Linked DNA regions of Bombyx mori. The protein of the gene in region 5 purifies or fractionates together with the protein of the main gene of each other region. This does not show direct contact. Links are inferred from orthologs where the notes say so. Each region holds a gene or a part of one and is shown on either strand. Other genes may lie near its edges.

What was found.
Region 1: the proteins of SOD (region 5) and BmDJ-1beta purify together in Homo sapiens (affinity purification with mass spectrometry; 4 studies listed by BioGRID and IntAct, with this or other methods). This does not show direct contact. The link is inferred for Bombyx mori from reciprocal best matches to the Homo sapiens genes SOD1 and PARK7.
Region 2: the proteins of SOD (region 5) and peroxiredoxin fractionate together in Homo sapiens (co-fractionation; 3 studies listed by BioGRID and IntAct, with this or other methods). This does not show direct contact. The link is inferred for Bombyx mori from reciprocal best matches to the Homo sapiens genes SOD1 and PRDX5.
Region 3: the proteins of SOD (region 5) and Tpi purify together in Homo sapiens (affinity purification with mass spectrometry; 3 studies listed by BioGRID, with this or other methods). This does not show direct contact. The link is inferred for Bombyx mori from reciprocal best matches to the Homo sapiens genes SOD1 and TPI1.
Region 4: the proteins of SOD (region 5) and 10 kDa heat shock protein, mitochondrial purify together in Homo sapiens (affinity purification with mass spectrometry; 3 studies listed by BioGRID, with this or other methods). This does not show direct contact. The link is inferred for Bombyx mori from reciprocal best matches to the Homo sapiens genes SOD1 and HSPE1.

Annotation. Positions count from the first base shown.
Region 1 is NC_085129.1:16,172,222-16,176,528, reverse strand, and holds the start of BmDJ-1beta (DJ-1 beta), read right to left. Parts: upstream 2,807-4,307; 5' UTR 2,805-2,806; coding exon of another isoform or gene 2,801-2,804; coding exon 2,714-2,800; intron 1,675-2,713; coding exon 1,555-1,674; intron 1,116-1,554; coding exon 1,001-1,115; intron 630-1,000; coding exon 484-629; intron 1-483. UniProt on the Homo sapiens protein: Multifunctional protein with controversial molecular function which plays an important role in cell protection against oxidative stress and cell death acting as oxidative stress sensor and redox-sensitive chaperone and protease.
Region 2 is NC_085118.1:970,282-974,378, forward strand, and holds the start of peroxiredoxin, read left to right. Parts: upstream 1-1,292; 5' UTR 1,293-1,395; intron 1,396-1,623; 5' UTR 1,624-1,691; coding exon 1,692-1,796; intron 1,797-1,865; coding exon 1,866-2,132; intron 2,133-4,097. Other genes in the region: transportin-3, read right to left, coding at 1-91. UniProt on the Homo sapiens protein: Thiol-specific peroxidase that catalyzes the reduction of hydrogen peroxide and organic hydroperoxides to water and alcohols, respectively.
Region 3 is NC_085107.1:8,566,537-8,570,561, reverse strand, and holds the start of Tpi (triosephosphate isomerase), read left to right. Parts: upstream 1-1,211; 5' UTR 1,212-1,270; intron 1,271-1,851; 5' UTR 1,852-1,860; coding exon 1,861-1,971; intron 1,972-2,268; coding exon 2,269-2,380; intron 2,381-2,483; coding exon 2,484-2,593; intron 2,594-3,806; coding exon 3,807-4,013; intron 4,014-4,025. UniProt on the Homo sapiens protein: Triosephosphate isomerase is an extremely efficient metabolic enzyme that catalyzes the interconversion between dihydroxyacetone phosphate (DHAP) and D-glyceraldehyde-3-phosphate (G3P) in glycolysis and gluconeogenesis.
Region 4 is NC_085117.1:15,042,785-15,045,592, forward strand, and holds 10 kDa heat shock protein, mitochondrial, read left to right. Parts: upstream 1-1,441; 5' UTR 1,442-1,830; coding exon 1,831-2,142; 3' UTR 2,143-2,299; downstream 2,300-2,808. UniProt on the Homo sapiens protein: Co-chaperonin implicated in mitochondrial protein import and macromolecular assembly. Together with Hsp60, facilitates the correct folding of imported proteins.
Region 5 is NC_085129.1:803,886-808,044, forward strand, and holds the start of SOD (superoxide dismutase [Cu-Zn]), read right to left. Parts: upstream 2,807-4,159; 5' UTR 2,691-2,806; coding exon 2,625-2,690; intron 1,139-2,624; coding exon 1,088-1,138; intron 233-1,087; coding exon 62-232; intron 1-61. Other genes in the region: uncharacterized protein LOC101740193, read left to right, coding at 4,068-4,130. UniProt on the Homo sapiens protein: Destroys radicals which are normally produced within the cells and which are toxic to biological systems.

The DNA.
Region 1 (4,307 bases), about 15 Mb from region 5:
TGATCAATCCACGTCATCTGTTGATGACGTTATTATCTATACTTTGCTGCCATCTAATAGGAAAGTCATTTATTTGCGATAGAACTCTGGTGATCTAGATTCTACAAACTGCGAAGTTTTTCTTTACCATGTACAAAATTGTCCAAATCACGAAAAAAATGGTAGTCCGTTGGAGCAAGGTCTGGCGAATACGGAGGATGACAAATGATTCCTAATTGCAGTTCCTGTAGAGTTAAAACGGTTTCTCGTGCTGTATGAGGTCTCGCGTTATCATGGAGCAATAATGGTGAAGATCGATTCATGAATCGAGTCAACTACTAAAAATCGATAATCGAATGTTGCACATTTTTCAAAAGAAGAACCCTATAGGTACCATTTGAAAAAAGTTTCACTCAAAAGTTCTATGTCAATTTGGAGTGCCTATTACAATAGAACGGCAATTTCATACTTTAACCCCTATAGCTTTATAATAAGATCACTGACCCGGCTGGTGACCACGTTGCCGTCCACCACCACCCTCTCCCCCTCCACGTACGTGTAGTCGCCGGCCGACAGCTTGTCCCTGGTGCTGGGGTATGACGTCACGCGCCGGCCCCTCGCCACGCCGTGGGCTGCAAACGCTATGGGAGCTGCCAATGTAACATTTAATTACATATTATGTCTGTGACATTATATATGTTGCGATATTTCCTTAGATAGTTTTTAATATTTTATTTACGTAGTTGCTTATTGAAAGAGAATTCTCTTATGTCTATAAACAAATGTTTCTATTGGCTTATTCAATCAACTGTACTTATTGTTGACTTTACCGGGACAAAATATTAATAAGTCAACATGTAGTTTAGAAATTTAAAATTAGTATATCCATTGGGAACGGGTGAGGAGTGGCGAGGAGGTGTCGGTTGTGATGATGATGATGATGATGACATCCATTGGTAACATTAGTATTCCAAACTCAATTGGAAGCAAACTTAAAAAAAATTTTTAGTAATTCATTTACCAGCACAAATGGCAGCAATGATTTTCCCATTATCCTCGTGGTCTTTAAGCAGAGCACCAACCTTCTCGGATTTGGAGAGACTGTCTGATCCTTCTAAGCCTCCTGGTAGAATCACCTGTTTGGAGAAAATTATTTATTTTTATAGGTGACACCTGCAGTGCTATATAACGCCTGTCAAAGTAACATTCATTGTAGTTGATGATGCCAAGTATTTTCTTCAACTTCAACTGAAACGGTGGTGCAAGACAGGGAATCTAATTTGTGGCTAGGTGATGGTCGTGACTCGTGCCCCGGTTATTATGGGTTGTCACTAGCTAATCTTATTTTGGATCATGCCTATGCTACGTCTAAATGTTTAATAAACCTAATAGAACAGAATCATTAGCCATTAAAATCACAACTGGGGTGCATAATTCTAGGTTCTAAGGTTCTCAGGTTCTAAATTATGTTAACATAGAAATTGGGTGTACTATTGTAATTTTTTTCTAGAAATGATGTAGTTTCTGCAGTTGCAAATGAACTTTGCTGTATAAGATAACGGTAAGGATACTCACAGCATCATACTGTTGTTTCTCAGCGAGGGCTTCAGTCAGTGACTTATCAGGTACTAGAGTCACTTGCCTTGAGCACAGCACAGGAGATGAACCTTCCAAGCCAGCTAGAGTAACTGTTACCTATGGGGAAATAAGGTCTTTTCAATAAGAAAAAAGCTTAATAATAAATTACTCATTGGTTAGAATACCACTATGATATTCCTTCTCATGGGTATAGAATGTAACCTTTGTTTTGTTTACTATGGAATCTGCAATGAGCATGAGCTGTGTGCAGGTGTGCTGTGAGACCTGGGAGTTCGTCCTCCAATAAAGGCAGCTTCTCTTTTGTAAATCATTTAGATACAATGTCCTTTTGTTTTAGCAATATAGTATCTTTTATTGTTCATAGCCAATTCATTTTCACTTCCTTTCCTGATACAATTTCTTTGAAATTCTATGGATTTCGTCCTTTAAGATAATGATAAAAAGGTAAAAATATTCTTTATGAGTATGGATGCTCTCCGAGTATTATAATATTTTAAAGATTCATGATTTCAATCCTACCCTTAGTGTTCAAACCAATACCATAGTATAACTCTTATACACATAACATCATTATGATAACATAATATGAAAAAACTATTTCAATGATGTTGCAGTTGGGAGTGGACAACAATTACGCAACTGATGCACATTCGAGTAGAACAGCAATTGATCAGTATATAGTAAGTAGTAACTTTTTATTGTTTAATTAAGATTTACAATTAAGCAGTGATCTAGTATTCAACTATTTGATAATTTATGGTCGATTTTCATTATGCAATTTTAGAATACACTAAATTTTCTATAGTAATAGGAGACTAGGGCTATAAGTTTTATATTATATTGCTAATACTATCAATCAGTGATCAGCTGAGGTGTTGGTCTATTTGTCATTTAGATTTTAGACTTTGTCATTGACAGCTGTGGTAGCATCATGATTACCCGGCGACCATTGTAACTGAATAGTTGATAAAAGGGTGTTAGTTTTTATTGACGAGCGAGAGTCAGCTATCTGGAATCACATTATCAGATCGTCAAGACCACATGACGGGCGAAATATGTCGATTAGCAAAAGTCTAATTACAATCCAACTAAGGAAATTCAGTCAACGGATTTAATGAATTAATTGACTACAAACCCCTCCTCGTCTCAGCATATCAACAGTTATAACTGTCTCCATCTCCTCTGCACCCTGCGCCAAAATCACTAACGCAGACTTGCTCATTGTTCTAAAATGAAAATAAACTAATATAAAACAGAAAAGCATGTAGTGTGCAAACAACAAATTACATAGTTTTTATTTCTGTATTATGTAATCAGTAGGTATTACGATAAAAGTATAATTAAAGTTTTCTTAAAGGTAATTAAATGCCGGTTCAATTTGTTGTATCCTCTATTTTGGTAGGTATTTTCACTTGATTCACGGCTAGATTATAATGTGAATGTAGTTAACGCCACTTATGCAATTAAATTCCGCTAAAACAGTTCGGTACCTTGATTTAAAAGCTCTATAATTTGCAAGAGTTTTTAAAAATAAATTAGAACGAGTAGACAATGACAACAGCAACATGAGAACCATAGATAATACACTTGATATTTATTAAATAAACATATTTGTACATAACTACTAAATTAAATATTAATTATGAACGAGTTGACAATTTCTGATTAAATTTAAGTACGGTACCTACTAGTATACATAGATAATAGACTGTGTATAAGAGAGTAAATTACCTACTTTGCCTTTGAAATTGTGTAGGTATTGTCAATTAATTGTCGTTACTATTATCATCTAAGGCCTAAGGTTATTTGTGTATGGTGTAAACAAATTATCTATGCTCGAAACATTGTAAAAAATTACCTATATCGTCAAGTGTATAACAGTCTACACTATGAAGGGTTCCGTAACGAAATGAACTTAGCTTGATAAAACACCCACAAATATTTTAGCATCCATCAATTAGCATCCATCAACATATTGTGGTCTCTTAGACCTACATATTGTCAAATCATTTTCCATTGCAAATTTTATTTAGGTTCATAAATTGTTTTTATGATTTATTTATGTCCTTAATAGGAGCACTAGAATTTGGAGGTACCTACACTTTTTTAACCTTACAAGCGCACAAAACAGCGGTAGCCGTCACAGAATATAAATTTGACACGATGTCTGAAACCGAAAAACGACATGATGCATCAACAACGTTGCGAGTCTTAGAAAAAACTATCACGACAACCTAAACAATATATTATTATATCTATATTATATTATATATACCTGTAGGGACACAGTTTGTTATGTAAACAAAATTGTTCGTAGTCATAACATGCGGCTGCACTCGCAAGCTCCGTTGTTTTTTACTTTTTAAGTTACCGTCGTCTATGTACATTAGCATTCCCAGGGGCAGAGCTAAAACGCTGCCTACCGCTAAGTACTGTATAAAAGCCTCGTTTTATGGATATGTGCTTTCGGGAAGCACCATAGGTAAGTGGCAAAAAATATCTATGGAAATGCACTGTGGATGAACGCATTGATTCTAGGTGGTGTTATAAAATAGAGAACAAAACTACCTGCTCACTAATTTTCACACATCGCAACTGTTCAGATACCGTGTTTTTTGTTAACTTCAAAACACAAAATTTAAACTATTTCAAACAAAAACTATACATACATAATCACTAATTATGTACCCTTTCCTGGCTGAGCCTTTGCTCGCTCACCTGTCCTGGTG
Region 2 (4,097 bases), on a different chromosome or scaffold from region 5:
ATAGCGAAGCCTTCTCAATTTCATTTCCATTTGGGCCATCGTACAGAGCGCTGATCGCCTGGTAAACAGTGTCCATTGAAGGAGCATCCATCGTGGAGATTTAAATTCTTATACTAATCTCAACCCCACACTTTTCTGGTGCATAAAATGTTACTTTTCATATCTACTTAAGAAAGTATTGTTTCGAATCAAATTTGATTACAAAAAGAAACTCAAAACGAAACGACAACGAACCACAAATTGCAAATGACAGATGACAGATTCGAGTCAGTCAGCAGGGCTGAGCTCGAAACCGCATTGACTTGATTCAAGTTGACTGGAAAACGAAGTTGTAATATTTTAATTTACCTACCTATTAAGTCTGCTCAACCCAAACAAGTAGCATTGAGATTTTCTTCCTACAAAAAATAGATCTTAACGTTAGTGTAATTTAATTCTTGGGATGTAATCATCTGACAATACTTTACAGGTTCAAACATATTCAGGGGACAAAACTTGAGCAGTAGACCGTATCCCTATTTTAAGAAGATTGATTAAAAACTTATTTTTTACAATCATTATATGATAAATAACGACAGAAAGACACGTAGAGAAAGATGTAGAAATCAAACGAGTAGTTTGTCTTACCGCGTAAAATACCGCTTGATTAATGAAATGATTTGATAATGACCAAATCCTAGAAAATTTAAATAATTAAAAAACGTTTTTTTTATTGCCCTTGTAGACAGACGAGCATACGGCCCACCTGATGGTGAGTGGTTACCGTCACCCATGGACTTCAGCAATGCCAGGGGCAGAGCCAAGCCGCTGTCTACCGAGGTTAAGTATAAAGAATCATATCAAGTTTGTTCTTGAAACATACAATTTAGTTATTTTGTTATGCTATTAAACCACTATTAATATTATTAATTTTTTTCTTAATTGAGTTATAATATATATCCGAAAGAAGTTATTATTATTTACTTATAGTGATTATTATTAATAATTACTGTGAAATATTAATTAATTTCTGATAATCTATGATGTAGATTTAAATCAGTAGCTGGTATAATAACAGTGGATATATGATTCATTTAAGCCCAAAGAGTATCGATGAAATGTATTGGTACAGCACCGTGGAGTCATTGTTAAAAGTTTTAATTTTCTAACTATTTGGCAGCAAAAATGGTTGGTTTTTTAAGAGTTTGTGGCGACTAAAAGGTCAATTCCACATTTACGTAGAAAGACTTCAACCTATTTGGAGATATTCGAAAAATACAGGGAAGATGACAAAACAAAATATAATGTAAAAGGCTTTTTTTAAACGAATTGAGAAAATAATAGAAATACGTACTATATAATTATGCGCGCTCCATTACTGAGACCCTTTATAAAAAAAATATTCATTACTCTATTCTTTCGGGCTTAGTAAACTTTAGACCTTACCTTTTGGCTTAAGCCAGGAACGAAAGCACATTAGAGCATCTAGGTATTTATTAATATTAACCACTGAATTTTTATAGTGTATGTACCCTTGTTCTGTTTCATAATGCAAAGCGTCGTCATGACGGCCGAATGACATTTGACAGCTTGACATAAAAGTTATCAAAGTTGTGAAGGTCATGAACTTTTATCATCTGTTAACTTACGATCGATATAACAAAATAAATAATAAGTAAGGTAACTACCATAGTAAAAACTTCTACCTTCTAATGTTTCTCACAGGGTCTTCGATTATCCGTGGCATTACCGCATTCACCAATCGAGCGTCAGCGCGAGCACTTCACATTTCACAATTAAGCATGGCACCAATTAAGGTAAATTATTTAAGAAAAAAGACTTTTTGGAATTACATAACAGGTTTTTTTCAAGTGTTTTACTTCAAGGTCGGGGATCAGCTGCCTGCTGCTGATTTATTCGAAGATTCTCCCGCTAATAAGGTGAATATTTGTGAGTTGACGGCGGGAAAGAAGGTTGTATTATTTGCGGTGCCGGGCGCCTTCACCCCGGGATGTTCTAAAACACACTTGCCGGGATACGTACAGAACGCAGATAAACTGAAATCGGATGGAGTTGCTGAAATAGTGTGCGTGTCTGTTAATGACCCGTATGTGATGGCGGCTTGGGGAGCTCAGCACAACACTAAAGGAAAGGTAATTCCTTCATACAAATATATTATTTACGTCATTCTCTTGTTTAAATTTTTCAATGAGATATATTAACATTGAGGTACCAAAATATTTATAATGCGAAATGTATTTAAGCATATATCTATAGATCCAGTAACCACCATTTTAATACTGCCACGTGTCTTGAGGACTGACATTGGATTCACGGTTACATTGTAATATTTGTTATACCCTCTAAATTGAATGCAAGCTTGCTTAATAGTAAAATGTTTTTACTCGAATAATAATTGCTTCAAATTATTTTCATTTACTTATCTGAATTTTTTATTTTGATTTTGTTAATTTATTTTTATCAAAAGTGAAAACAACCTGAAAATAGTTTTTCTGCTACCTACACAGTATCGCAATCAAATATATCTAACATATTACTGAGTGGAATTTAATTTAGTATTTTCTTTGATTTTCGGGGGGATCTTTGCATTAAGTAAAACTTATTTTATGGTTTATAAATTTATTTTATAATTAATTATTACCTATTTTATATTCATAGTTCTATAATATAATAAATACCAAACAGTTTTTAAGTCGTGGGTAATGATTACAATATTGTGCTTCTAATTTACCTGAAACCTACCTACTTGTTTCTGATAAAATATACAATGATCAAATATTAATGACATGACCTACTATTTAAATGATTAACGTAAATAAAGAACAATACCTTGAATTAACTTATTTACGACAATAAATAAAAAAGGTTCTGTTAGTAATCGTTCCGTTGTGACCTTCTCACAGTCACAACAGTATAAGACCTTGTTACCAATAAATTTTAAGAGAGTATTTTGTCTATTGATATTACATCGAATCAATGTTTTTTGAATGTGCGGATTACTGAAATGCATAAATGGTGGTGGTATGGTGTAAGCGGACATGGGTAGGTACCATTCCTGTCCCTCTATAGGTAGATATAACTAACTATACTTGAGACCTTAGAACTTATATCTCAAGGTGGGTGGCGCATTTACGTTGTGGATGTCTATGGGCTCCAGTAAACACTTAACACCAGGTGGGCTGTGAGCTCGTCCACCCATCTAAGCAATAAAAAAAAAGATAGTTAGGTAGGACTGCTATTATACAATACAGTTGAGTAGATCTTTGTAGTGCAGTAAACACAAAACACAAGGCAGTTTACTCACTCATCTGAATATATAATAAAAACTGAGTATACAACATACATATTAATAATATGTATTATTTGTAATTAGTGATTTTAAAATTACAAGAGCCATATTTAATGAAAAAATGTCCAAAAGCTTATTATGAACGTGGGAGCTGTTATCAGACGTTATAAGAAGTTATGAGGTCGTCTACAGGGCAGCGGCGACCGTGCCATGACCAGTGTGTATATGTGACAAAACAATAGCAGTGTGTGTCATCATCACATTTTTTTTTGTGTTGAATTTTTGCCCGCAACAGAGTAATCGCGATTGCGGTATTACAAATAGTATAACATAAAAAGTAGGTGTGTGAACTAGTGCAACTGCTATATCGATCCCACGGCAGGTGGCACGTAAAAGTTTAACTATGTAGATAAATAGTTATTGAGTTGGCAGTGAAGCCAGTCTTAGTTAAAATGAGGTCGGAGTCTATATTCACCATTCAATCTGGAGCGTATGATAGTTTTTCGGCAGACAAGACATTTTTTAGTTATAGATGAGCCGACAAGCTGATTTTCTTAACAAGCTAATCTTCTACGGTAGGCAGCGGCTTGGCTCTACCCCTGGCAAAAAACAAAAAAAAAACCTTGAGTAGCCACATCTTATCGAAAAAGTATAATTAGGTACATTGTAATAACGGCTCTACAATAACTATTGACATCGAGGCGGTAGTTAGCTACTGCTTAGCTCTTTATGTCTATGACTCTCTTGGGATGTAATTGTGGTTCCCACGTCCTTCCCCATCAGTATTTCGAAGGGATTTAGTCCTTCA
Region 3 (4,025 bases), on a different chromosome or scaffold from region 5:
AAAATGCCAACGGTCAAAATTGACAGTTTAGTCATTTATTTGAACCGTATCGACAAAAAGAAAAACAATTGATTAAGAAAAGAATATACCAAAAAAACTAAATTAAATTAAATTAACGAAAAAGAAATAAACGTAAGTACGTAGCTATTACATGTAGGTAAGTAGGTAAGGTATGTAGGTAGGTACAATTTAATTAATTAAATCATTTGACGTTTGTTTGAAGTTTGCATTGATTTTAGTCTATTAGCTTAATTTTTTTTAAACAGAATAGACTCGCACCACTTATCATAATAATCTTAGATAACAGAAATGTCTATATGAACTGAAATTTATAATGAAATGAAACAAAATGAAATACATGGAATTAAATTACATGAAAAAATAATTCCAAGTGGAAATTAGATGACATATAATTGTTAAGCTCTCGGTCAAATTATGAAAATTTACTGAAATGTACTTTCATGGATTTTTTGTACTAACCAGGTTTCTTTTTTTTATATAACTTTCTATTTTCGGACATTGTCAGTATATATGTCATATATTGTCGGTGTATCATAGTCTTCCTTATACATACATCATTTTGACTAGTCTCAATACACTTCTAATACATATTTTGTATGTGTCAGTAAGTTGTGTGAAATGAAACTAAGACAGCATTAATGTAAGGTATTGATAATAAGAAGTTTTCATTGTACCATAATTGAATTAAAGGAGAAAAAACTTGTAAACGTGTCAGTGCTCGAGTCGGGAATTTAAATAAGAAAGCTGGACGTGGCTTTTCGACTTTCGTTTCATGTAATCGTATACTTACTCTCTATTATCTCATCTGAGTTCCTTTATTTTAATTTCATTTTATTTAATGTATTCGTTCCATTTCAGATTTGTTCAAATGACTTGGTCTTTTATAACTAAGATTAATTTGTATTCAATGAGTTCTTTGCCTTTTCAATGGACGAATCAAATAAAATTATCTTTGATATTCAATGTCATAGAGGTCATCATTGACGTTATTCTTAATTTTGTTCTCGTTGTTTATTCTATTTTAAATTACATGATAAACATTCTGCCTATTATCTAACAATTTTGTGATTGGACAGATTTTAAGATCAAGAAGAAAGTGACCAATTGCAAAAATATATTTTAGAGTCTGATAAAAGAAAGCTCAAAAAGAATCGTTTTAATTTATTTTTGTCGTATGTGGTAACTTAAACTTAACAGTACACTGCAGTTGATACACGATATTTGTTGAAAAGTTGGAAGCTCAAATAAGGTAAGTTAAATATTTTTAGTTTAACTTAATAAAAAGTCAAATTGTTTAGTCCTATCGTATAAATAATCTAGAAGAAGTAAAATTCAGAAATAAATACCGTGTTATCGGCTGTGTTATTTCTGCTAATTTTAAACACCCCTCTTCTAACAATCCAGTAATATAAGAACTTCACGAATAATTATTTATTTATACTAAACTAAATAATAATAGGTAAGTATCTTCATAGGAAAATTATGAAATCATAATTTTTCGTCAACTTACGGTCTGCTAACAGTTTGCACGGATCTGTACTGGTATCCGGCTTCTGAACCAAAGCAATTGTCTTCCCAATTATTGGGCAGTACAGCCGTTACATTAATAAAGTTAAGATTTTAACATCATTTCTTAAGAGACGACTGATGACATTGGCTTCACATTTCGGGCTGCAATATCTCCCTGTAGAGAAGCTCATAAAAAAACTTGCATAAAGGAAAAATCATATTTTCATTCTGTTACTCCCTATCTAATATAGATTGACATGGTAAACCTTAATATATTCACTTTGCTTTATATATTAATAATATATTATATTGCCTTAACAGATAACAGAAATGGGTCGCAAATTTGTTGTTGGAGGTAACTGGAAGATGAATGGTGACAAAAATCAAATCAACGAAATAGTTAATAATCTAAAAAAGGGACCTCTAGATCCTAATGTTGAGGTAAATGAAATTCAATACTATAATGTTAATTTTAAAATTGATTTAGGCTTCAATTTATTATATTTTAAGCAATGCTTTTCAAAATATGATCTTTTAAGACTTTTTTCTTAAAAGTAGTTTGAACAGGAAAACTGATTTTTTGTTGGCTGTAGTCTTCCTAAACATACTACTTTTATTGTATGTCATATGCATTTAATTAAATATTGTGTGTTCACTCCACAAAAAAAAAAAACAAATTTCATTATTTTGTTAAGTGACAATGTTACTTTTTTGAGAAATGTATCAACTTGTTGTCAGGTAATTGTTGGTGTTCCTGCTATTTACCTGTCTTATGTGAAGACTATCATTCCTGATAATGTCGAAGTTGCAGCCCAGAACTGTTGGAAGTCTCCAAAAGGAGCTTTTACTGGTAAATGTGGTTTATCATAGTTATCGGAATTTTTGTATAACATCAAAACAATGTTCCAATTATGATATACAGAGTACTAAGTAATGTTTTACTGTTGCTTCAGGTGAAATTTCACCCGCTATGATCAAAGACGTTGGAGTAAATTGGGTTATACTTGGTCATTCTGAAAGAAGAACAATTTTTGGTGAAAAAGATGAACTTGTTGCTGAAAAGGTAGTTTGAATTGTTGATACATTAAATGTATTTTTTTAATGAAAATTTATGAAGCTTGTGAGAGCTTATAGCATAACCTTTTTGATTTCTCTAATGGGGTTTCAAAATGATTAGCACAGTACTCCACCGCAGTATTTTGTGCAATGGTATATTTATAATAATCAGACTAATCATGTATTAATTAACAAGCTAACAAAGTGCAAAGCTAAGACAAAATTTAAATAATGCACTATAAATCTGTTGACCTCTATTAGTATTTTCATTGTGTTGTATTTTCTAATTTTTTTCTTAAATCCCACTTTAAGCACTAGCTACACTATCAGCACGCTATGAGGGCCATTTTGACATACTACAATAGTGATGTAAATTGTCAATTATTATTTATTCTCCAAAAAATGTAATGAAGTCTAAGTTTTTATTGCAGGTAGTACCTGATTAAAAAAGTTTAATAAAACAAAAATATAAATGCTTACTTAATATATTTGAACGATCTGTATATTGGAATAAAAATTAATATACATACTACAAGAAATAAATTAATACAAAAAGAGACCAAAAAAAGTGCCCCAAAAGGCTATATTTAATCAGATACGTCCATTCTGCTATTTTCACTGTCATCACTGTTATCATCACCTACATTAATTATAAGTTTGTTTTCTAAAATATTATCTATGTTCAGATTTCTTTCGTAATCTTCCCTTATTAGTTTAACAGTTCTTTCCACAACCTTTTCCCAGTCTCTTTTAGTCACATGTTCACAAACTTCTAATATTTTTAGCATTTTTGATGTGGTAAAGGGGGTTTTGTATCGTGTCTTGTAGCATATCCCTTAATTTGTGCCAACACCAACTCATTTGCATAATATTCACAATGGTAAGGCGGTAACCGTATAACTCTGTGCCCCTGTTCTAATGCTATTTCTTCAATGACGTATCGTATCTGGGTTGGTTTGAATTTCGAAAAACAAATGCTGATTTGTGTGGTAAATAAGTACGGTACGGAACACAAATGTAATTACTATTAATACGAAACTTCATGGGTGGACAAACGTCAAAACGGCCATCATAGTGTGCCGGTAGTGTCGTGTGTGCACTAGGATGCGTTATGTGTTTTATCTATATGTGCTCTAAAGTAACCAGGTGTTTGAGTTTGAAAGATGGGATAGGTATTATTCAATTTAGTTCTGTCCATTTATTGTAATTTTTTTTACCAGGTTGCTCATGCCCTTGAATCTGGCTTGAAAGTCATTGCCTGTATTGGTGAGACTCTCGAAGAGAGAGAATCTGGCAAGACTGAGGAAGTTGTTTTTAGACAATTAAAAGCTTTAGTATCGGCCATTGGTGACAAATGGGAAAATATTGTGCTTGCCTATGAACCTGTATGGGCTATTGGTACAGGCAAGACTGCTACTCCCCAACAGGTTTGTTTATCA
Region 4 (2,808 bases), on a different chromosome or scaffold from region 5:
TACAAGCGCTTTTTAGTGATCTCAATCAGTGTATTATCTAGTGTCTAAGCGGTCTACGGTTTTACAAACACAGATAATACATACCATGACATGGGGTAAATTGGGATTCTGGGGTAAATTGGGACAAACCTGCGGAAGATTCTCAAAGTACTTGTAGCACGGAATCTACCTAATTTTCTTTAAGGTAATATTTATCAATGTATAGAAGAAAAACCAAGTTAACTATGGAAGTACTAAACATGAGTTAAGTTGGACCCAAAAATTCGTCAAATTAAATTTAAAATAGTGGTTGAAAAGTGCGTTTTAAAACAGCCTAGAGAACTTTTAAAAAAAGTAATATTATCGTTGTTTTTTCAATAAGATCACAGTATAAATAAGTTTTTAATACACCTGGAAATACCACAACAAACGGTAAGTTGCAATATTCTTATTTTAAATACAATATTTCGACAAAATAAAAAATGTATATTTTTTCCTTTCTTTTTGGGGAAAATTGGGACGTATGTAGGGTAATTTGGAACGAGACTGGAAAAATTATGGACGAGAAAACACAAAATTGGAACGCCAAAAGACAAAATAGGGATGGCTTGTTAGGGTTGTCACTGATATCTTATAATAGATTTTTTAGCCTATACTATCACTTAATTGCGTGATGTAAAGAAGGTTAATGTGTTTATCAGTTAGTTTATGTAAGTATTATAGGTAAAAGAAAAGTATATATATAATTACTTTTTTTTCGCGACATTTACCTTGTAATATCTGCCCGGTCGTATGTTCTTTATAGCAATAAAAAAAATTAAAAGTTAAAAGAACTCCAACGAATCAAAACTTTTGTTATTTCAGAATGTATTCACGCGTCGAATCATGATTTTGTTAACATTCACAACGAACACACACAAATAAAAACAGGCCTCAGATTTTAAATGTAACATTAATAAAAAATCCGAGATATCCAATTATGAGTGAGTGAATTAATTGAGTTTAGTTATTTCGCTTAGAAATAATTTCTTTTATTTTTGTTATTATTGGCAGTAATCAGATAAAGCTGTTTTTTTATCTTATTCACCTGATATCTTACTCTTGCTCAAAGATTATTTTGAAAATGTTGATTAAATAAAATTGTATTATTGCATTTCCAGTCCTTTTGGATTTATTCTATTTTATGATTTTGTTTCAGGGTTGTGATTTTTAAGGAAATTAAATAATAATTTTCTAAAATATAACATGCACATACTTTTTTTGATCATTGTATTGTTGATTATCATTCACGTCACATCGCTTCGGAATAGAAACCAGCTTAATTTACACTATGTTGTGTATTGTGCTTAAATTATGGATTGTATTCATCATTTCGGTCCATATAAATAATTATATGGCACCTATATATCGCAGTACTGCGAGTTGACAACCCTTACAAATATTCCAATTTAACCCTTAACCGTGTCAATTTACCCCGGACGCTGGGTAAATTGGGACGGCCATTATTTTACCGATTATTTCTTTAAAATGAATAATTAAAATAATGTAACGGTTTTTATCACCTAGGTACGTTCAAGACTCAACTTATTTCTTTGGTTGGGCAGTGACTATTTAATTGGAACTGTTTTAAAATTCAATCTGAAGGTCGATTTTGTCCCTATTTACCCCATTGTACGGTAATATCTAAAAGTGGATATATTCTGTGATCGCAGTTTCTGGTTTGACAATCATTGAGATAACCCGGCAACCGATAGGACTGTTTGACTCGAATATTCTAGATTCCGCAAATTTTGAACAGCGTTCATCGTGCTCATATTCTTCGCTTTTGAATTCTGTTAATTAAAAATCGAAATGGCCAATGCAGTAAAACGATTGGTTCCTCTTCTGGACCGTGTCCTGATCAAAAGAGCTGAAGCTATAACCAAAACTGCCGGAGGCATTGTCATCCCAGAGAAGGCTCAATCCAAGGTTTTACACGGAGAAGTAGTAGCGGTCGGTCCTGGAGCCCGAAAAGAAAATGGAGACTTCATCCCCGTTCAAGTTAGTGTGGGTGATAAAGTTCTTCTTCCAGAATACGGCGGTACTAAAGTAAGCCTTGAAAATGATGAGAAAGAATATCATCTCTTCAGAGAGTCTGACATACTGGCGAAAATTGAAAACTGAATGATGGTAGCTTTAACATGTGATTCTAATTCTGTTAGTTTAGTTGTAGCGTGCGCAAATGAAACGTTGATATGGTCGTGTATTTTTTGTGAGGTATTGATCTTATCTCAGTTGCAATACTTGCATTTCTTATTATAATAATAATTATTGTTATAAATCTGTCGTTTTATTCAAAATTTCTCCACTGTTATATTAAAATGTTACATCATCATGTAAACTAACCTAACCTCAAAAGGAGCATGCATTTTATAAACGAGTTGGTACGTTGAGGAACAATTCTTGTGTCCCAACATACTATAATTGTAATACGGCAAAACTATTGAAGTCAGCCTCAATATGATTATCATTAATTTGAGAGCAAAAATGCTATAGGATTATTTCAATTCCCATTGAAATAGAGCTACTAACAATTAAAATTAATTGAGATAACACTTAATATAGTATTTAGTAATAGCACACTGATATTATTTTTAATCTTTGCTATTGTGGAAGACCATATGAGCACAGACTGCCATTAAGTGAGCAGTTATAGTTGCTCATGCTCTTGTCAGCAGTGACAATGCTATATATTTTGATTTATGCAATGGGCTCCCTACAATTTTTTTCTCAGCACTATAACATGTCCTTTAAATAAGGTTCAGACTCCAGAGCAGGTGCAAAAGGATT
Region 5 (4,159 bases):
GAGAATGATGTTGCTATTTAACATATCAAGTTGTTGAGGTCATCAAAATGATGGTACTTACTTTAGTGACTCCAGAGTCTTCAATTGCCTCAATGTTACCGAGGTCGCCGACATGGCGTACAGCAGAACTGGGACCACCATGATCTTGTTTTTCAGGGTTGAAATGAGCTCCAGCTGATGTGCAACCGTTTGTGTTGTCACCAAATTCGTGCACATGGAAACCGTGTTTACCCTTTAACAGTAAAGTTTATTCATTACCATAGTAGATGATGCCCAGATTTTCAGAATGAATACATGAAGCTTATTTTGCATTGTTGTATTTCTTCATGTTAACTGTTAAACAAGTCAATATGTAATATATTTTTTTACATTACGTGTTAAAACCACCTGAAAGTTCTGAATATTGACTACACTATTCTCAATAATTAAAACCAATTTCTTTATCAGTTATTATTACAACATTATTTTTTTACTATCAATGTTTAAAGAATAATGACTTGCTAGTTCGATACAAGCTTCCATATTATCATATTCAGTAATTGTATGTACATTATACACAATCACTATCATTGCAAGGTCATTTGACTATAAACAGTTTAATTATTCTTATTTGTTAACATTACCTATTTACATTGGGATTTTACAAGTGATAACTATAATTATATTTTTTTGTACTTTGAAAAAAAAATAGACACTACAGATAAAAAAATACAAAACAAGTATTAAAGAGACAGGCCGACTCCATTTTCTTGACACTTTTTAATTATGACTTCCTGCTTCCTGCCGAATTCTTGCTTTTGTATATGATTGAACAGTTATGAGCCAAATTGATAATTGATTATTTTTGGCTCAAGATAAATTTCAATTTTGACGTCTGGATAGCAATTATATACACTACAGGGCTCAAAGAGAGCAAGCAGCACTTCCGTTATGGTGTCACATTGAATGAGTGGAATTCAGGAAATGAGAATAAATTTTGTTTTTGTTTTAGCAGTCATACAGTCCCCAGTCAGTTGTCCTAATTTGATAGCCTGTCAAAGCCTATTTGTACTAAGTAATAAGTTTCGTAGTAACATCACATACAAACCTTAGTCAAGCCCTGGACCTCTCCAGAAACAACAACAGGTGACTTTTCATCCTGTAATTGAAAGGCATTATTTAAAACGTTGTTTTTTTCTCTCATCAGTCTGACTGTAATTATCAGAAAAAAAATTAATTATTGATCAATAACTTATTTCTTATTACTTATTATATATATATCAACTTTTCAGTTTGAAATGTTTTTTGTTTATTTTATATTAAGTTTGTAAGGTAAATTTTCCTTATACATATATTACAAAAACAACACCTTTTATACATCCTTAACAATCGTCAACTAAAAATACTGAAAAAGAATAAGAGGATAATCCAAAAAATATCCTCATTTCATTGTCAGGATTAATACTTATGTAGAATATTTAAATACAAAGTCATGAGAACAGTCTGGTCTTTTCAAATGTCACACAAAGATGATTGGCTTTAGAAAATGTTTTTCATTTTTTCAAGTATGATTGAATTTAGTGTTACATTTTTCTAATCTAATAATGTATTATTACCATGAAATCATTTTAAGTATTTTTTCATGCAAGATAAGTTTTTCAATCAACATATATGACAAGGTTACTAAGCATCCAGAGTATAAGGAAAATTTAAAACAAATCGTAATTTATGGGTAACTTTATGTAAAGATTGAAAACTCACTTCTTAAACTAAATTATTTTGAATCATTAATCAAGAAAAATGTTCTACACTGACAACTAACTGTACAGAATGATTATATTAATATTAAATTTTACTTAGTGTATTTGTAATTCCAACATAGCACTTTCTTTAATTTTAATAAATGAGGAAATGCTTGAATAAATATTTTATTTGTTTATAAATATTGGTGCCACTATGATGGAGTTTGAATATAAAAGTAATGGTAGGCAACACTTAACACATGTAAGGTTACAGTTTCAAATATTGGAATGCTTATTTAAATATTTAAAACAGATGATTGTCTTCTCGTCAGTGTAGACAATGACTTATCATCTAGACACGGACAGAGCAACATATTAGAGTTTTGTAAAAATAAAATATTATAATGGTGTAATAGTTTACAAAGTATATGCAATATAATTATATTAACCATGAAGCAATGTTTTTAAATAGCCTCTCACCCCAGAACCCAGTCCACTCAAATTCAACCGTCCAACACACTATAAGTACTGGAGTGCATAGGCTGCAGTAACTGCTTAATACTGGACTGCATTTATGAGGACATTACCATTCCTAATAAAATAAAAAAACTGTACTGTACGATATTATAAAGCAAAATAAAAAACCAGTCAGTAAAAACGCAAAAAAACAATTGACTTCTAGAACCATCTTCAACCAGGTAGGTAGGTACATAAAAATGTCGGCCGGTATTATAACAGACACAAATTTCTCATTAATATATTTAATATTGGTTCATTAATAAAAGTGTGTATTATTAATGTTAAAGTACATACTTACGAATTTATTTTATATGGTTAAATAACCCTAAGTACATACGTAATACAATTTATTTAGTAACTTAATATTGGAGTCGTTGGTAATACCTGCTGATCGAAGAAAACAGTTCCGCTAACATCACCACGAAGTACGCAAACTGCTTTGGCGGGCATTGTGATATTGTATTATGTTATATTTAGAGTATAGCAAGATTAAAAAATATTTAATATTATAAATCAGTTTTACAAGAAAAACCGCTAACACTTTCACACTACTTCAGAGTCCAATTAAACTGTGACAATGACAAAATTGATTGACAAATGACTATACAGATTTTTTTTTAGGGGATTTTATGACCTGGTAACTAAGACCTGTAGGTAGTCTTATTTTAATTTTTATTCTTATTTTTATGAAAAATGATAATGTGGAGTGAAATGAAATGAAGATGATTAATTTGAGACAAATAAAATGAAAAGAGATGATATAGGATGAAACATAATTTCAGTAAAATGGTGGTCATTTACTGAGACTTTTTCAGTGGACTTTTTGGAAGTTTATTTTATTTTATTTCTTCGATGAGTGGACTTAGATGGGGCTCATAGCCCACCTGGTTAAGTGGTTACTGAAGCCTATAGACATATACAACGTAAATGCGCCACCCACCTTGAGATATAAGTTCTAAGGTCTCAAGTATAGTTACAACGGCTGCCCCACCCTTCAAACCGAAACGCATAACTGCTACACGGCAGAAATAGGCAGGGTGGTGGTACCTACCTGTGCGGACTCACAAAAGGTCCTACCATCAGTAAAAAAGGATCCCAAGAAGTTACGTCCAGCGGTTTGGTTTTATTTTCCCACATTTATGCACTTTCATAGATACTAAACAGTTAATAAACCACCGTTATTTACGCATTTAAACCTGAAGAAACACTTAATAGACACATATTATTATCATTTCATTTTATGCCATGTTTCTAACCAACTTTATTTCATTTTATAATATCATTTTTCATATAAAAATATAATATATAAAAGACTAGCTGGCCCGGCAAACGTTGTTTTGTCATATAAATTATTTCTAGGAAATTTATATAACCTAGATATACCGACTGCAGCGCCCTCTGCCGGGCGCCATATGATTGGTAAATCTAAACCATTCTCGAATCCATCTGAAGGTATACAGAAAATTACATCAAAATTGGTCCAGCCGTTTAGGAGTTCAGTGACAAACACACGCACAGAATAAAAAGATTACGCTGTATGGTATGATTCCTTTGCCTCTCTAGCTGGAAAAATTAAACTACTACTAATTTGCCGAAATAGTGTTTAGTCTATGAATTTGCCTTTGCTCGAATTTGCCAAGAAATTTTCACCACCTATTTATAGCTTCTGCTTCTAACAACAATGTAAATCCTTGGATTGGTTTGCATTAGACCTAAAATATCACCTAACAATAATTAACAGGGCGAAATAAAAATAGGACAGCATCAGCCATTAAAAGCCACATGAAGGATTGATTTTAACCATTTATTTTCAGCCCTTTTCTAGTGATGGATTCTGAATCTTCACTAGATGTAGATTGTGATTCTGTATCTTTTCCTAATAATCCTAATGTAAGTAATAAAATATAGTTCATGTTCTA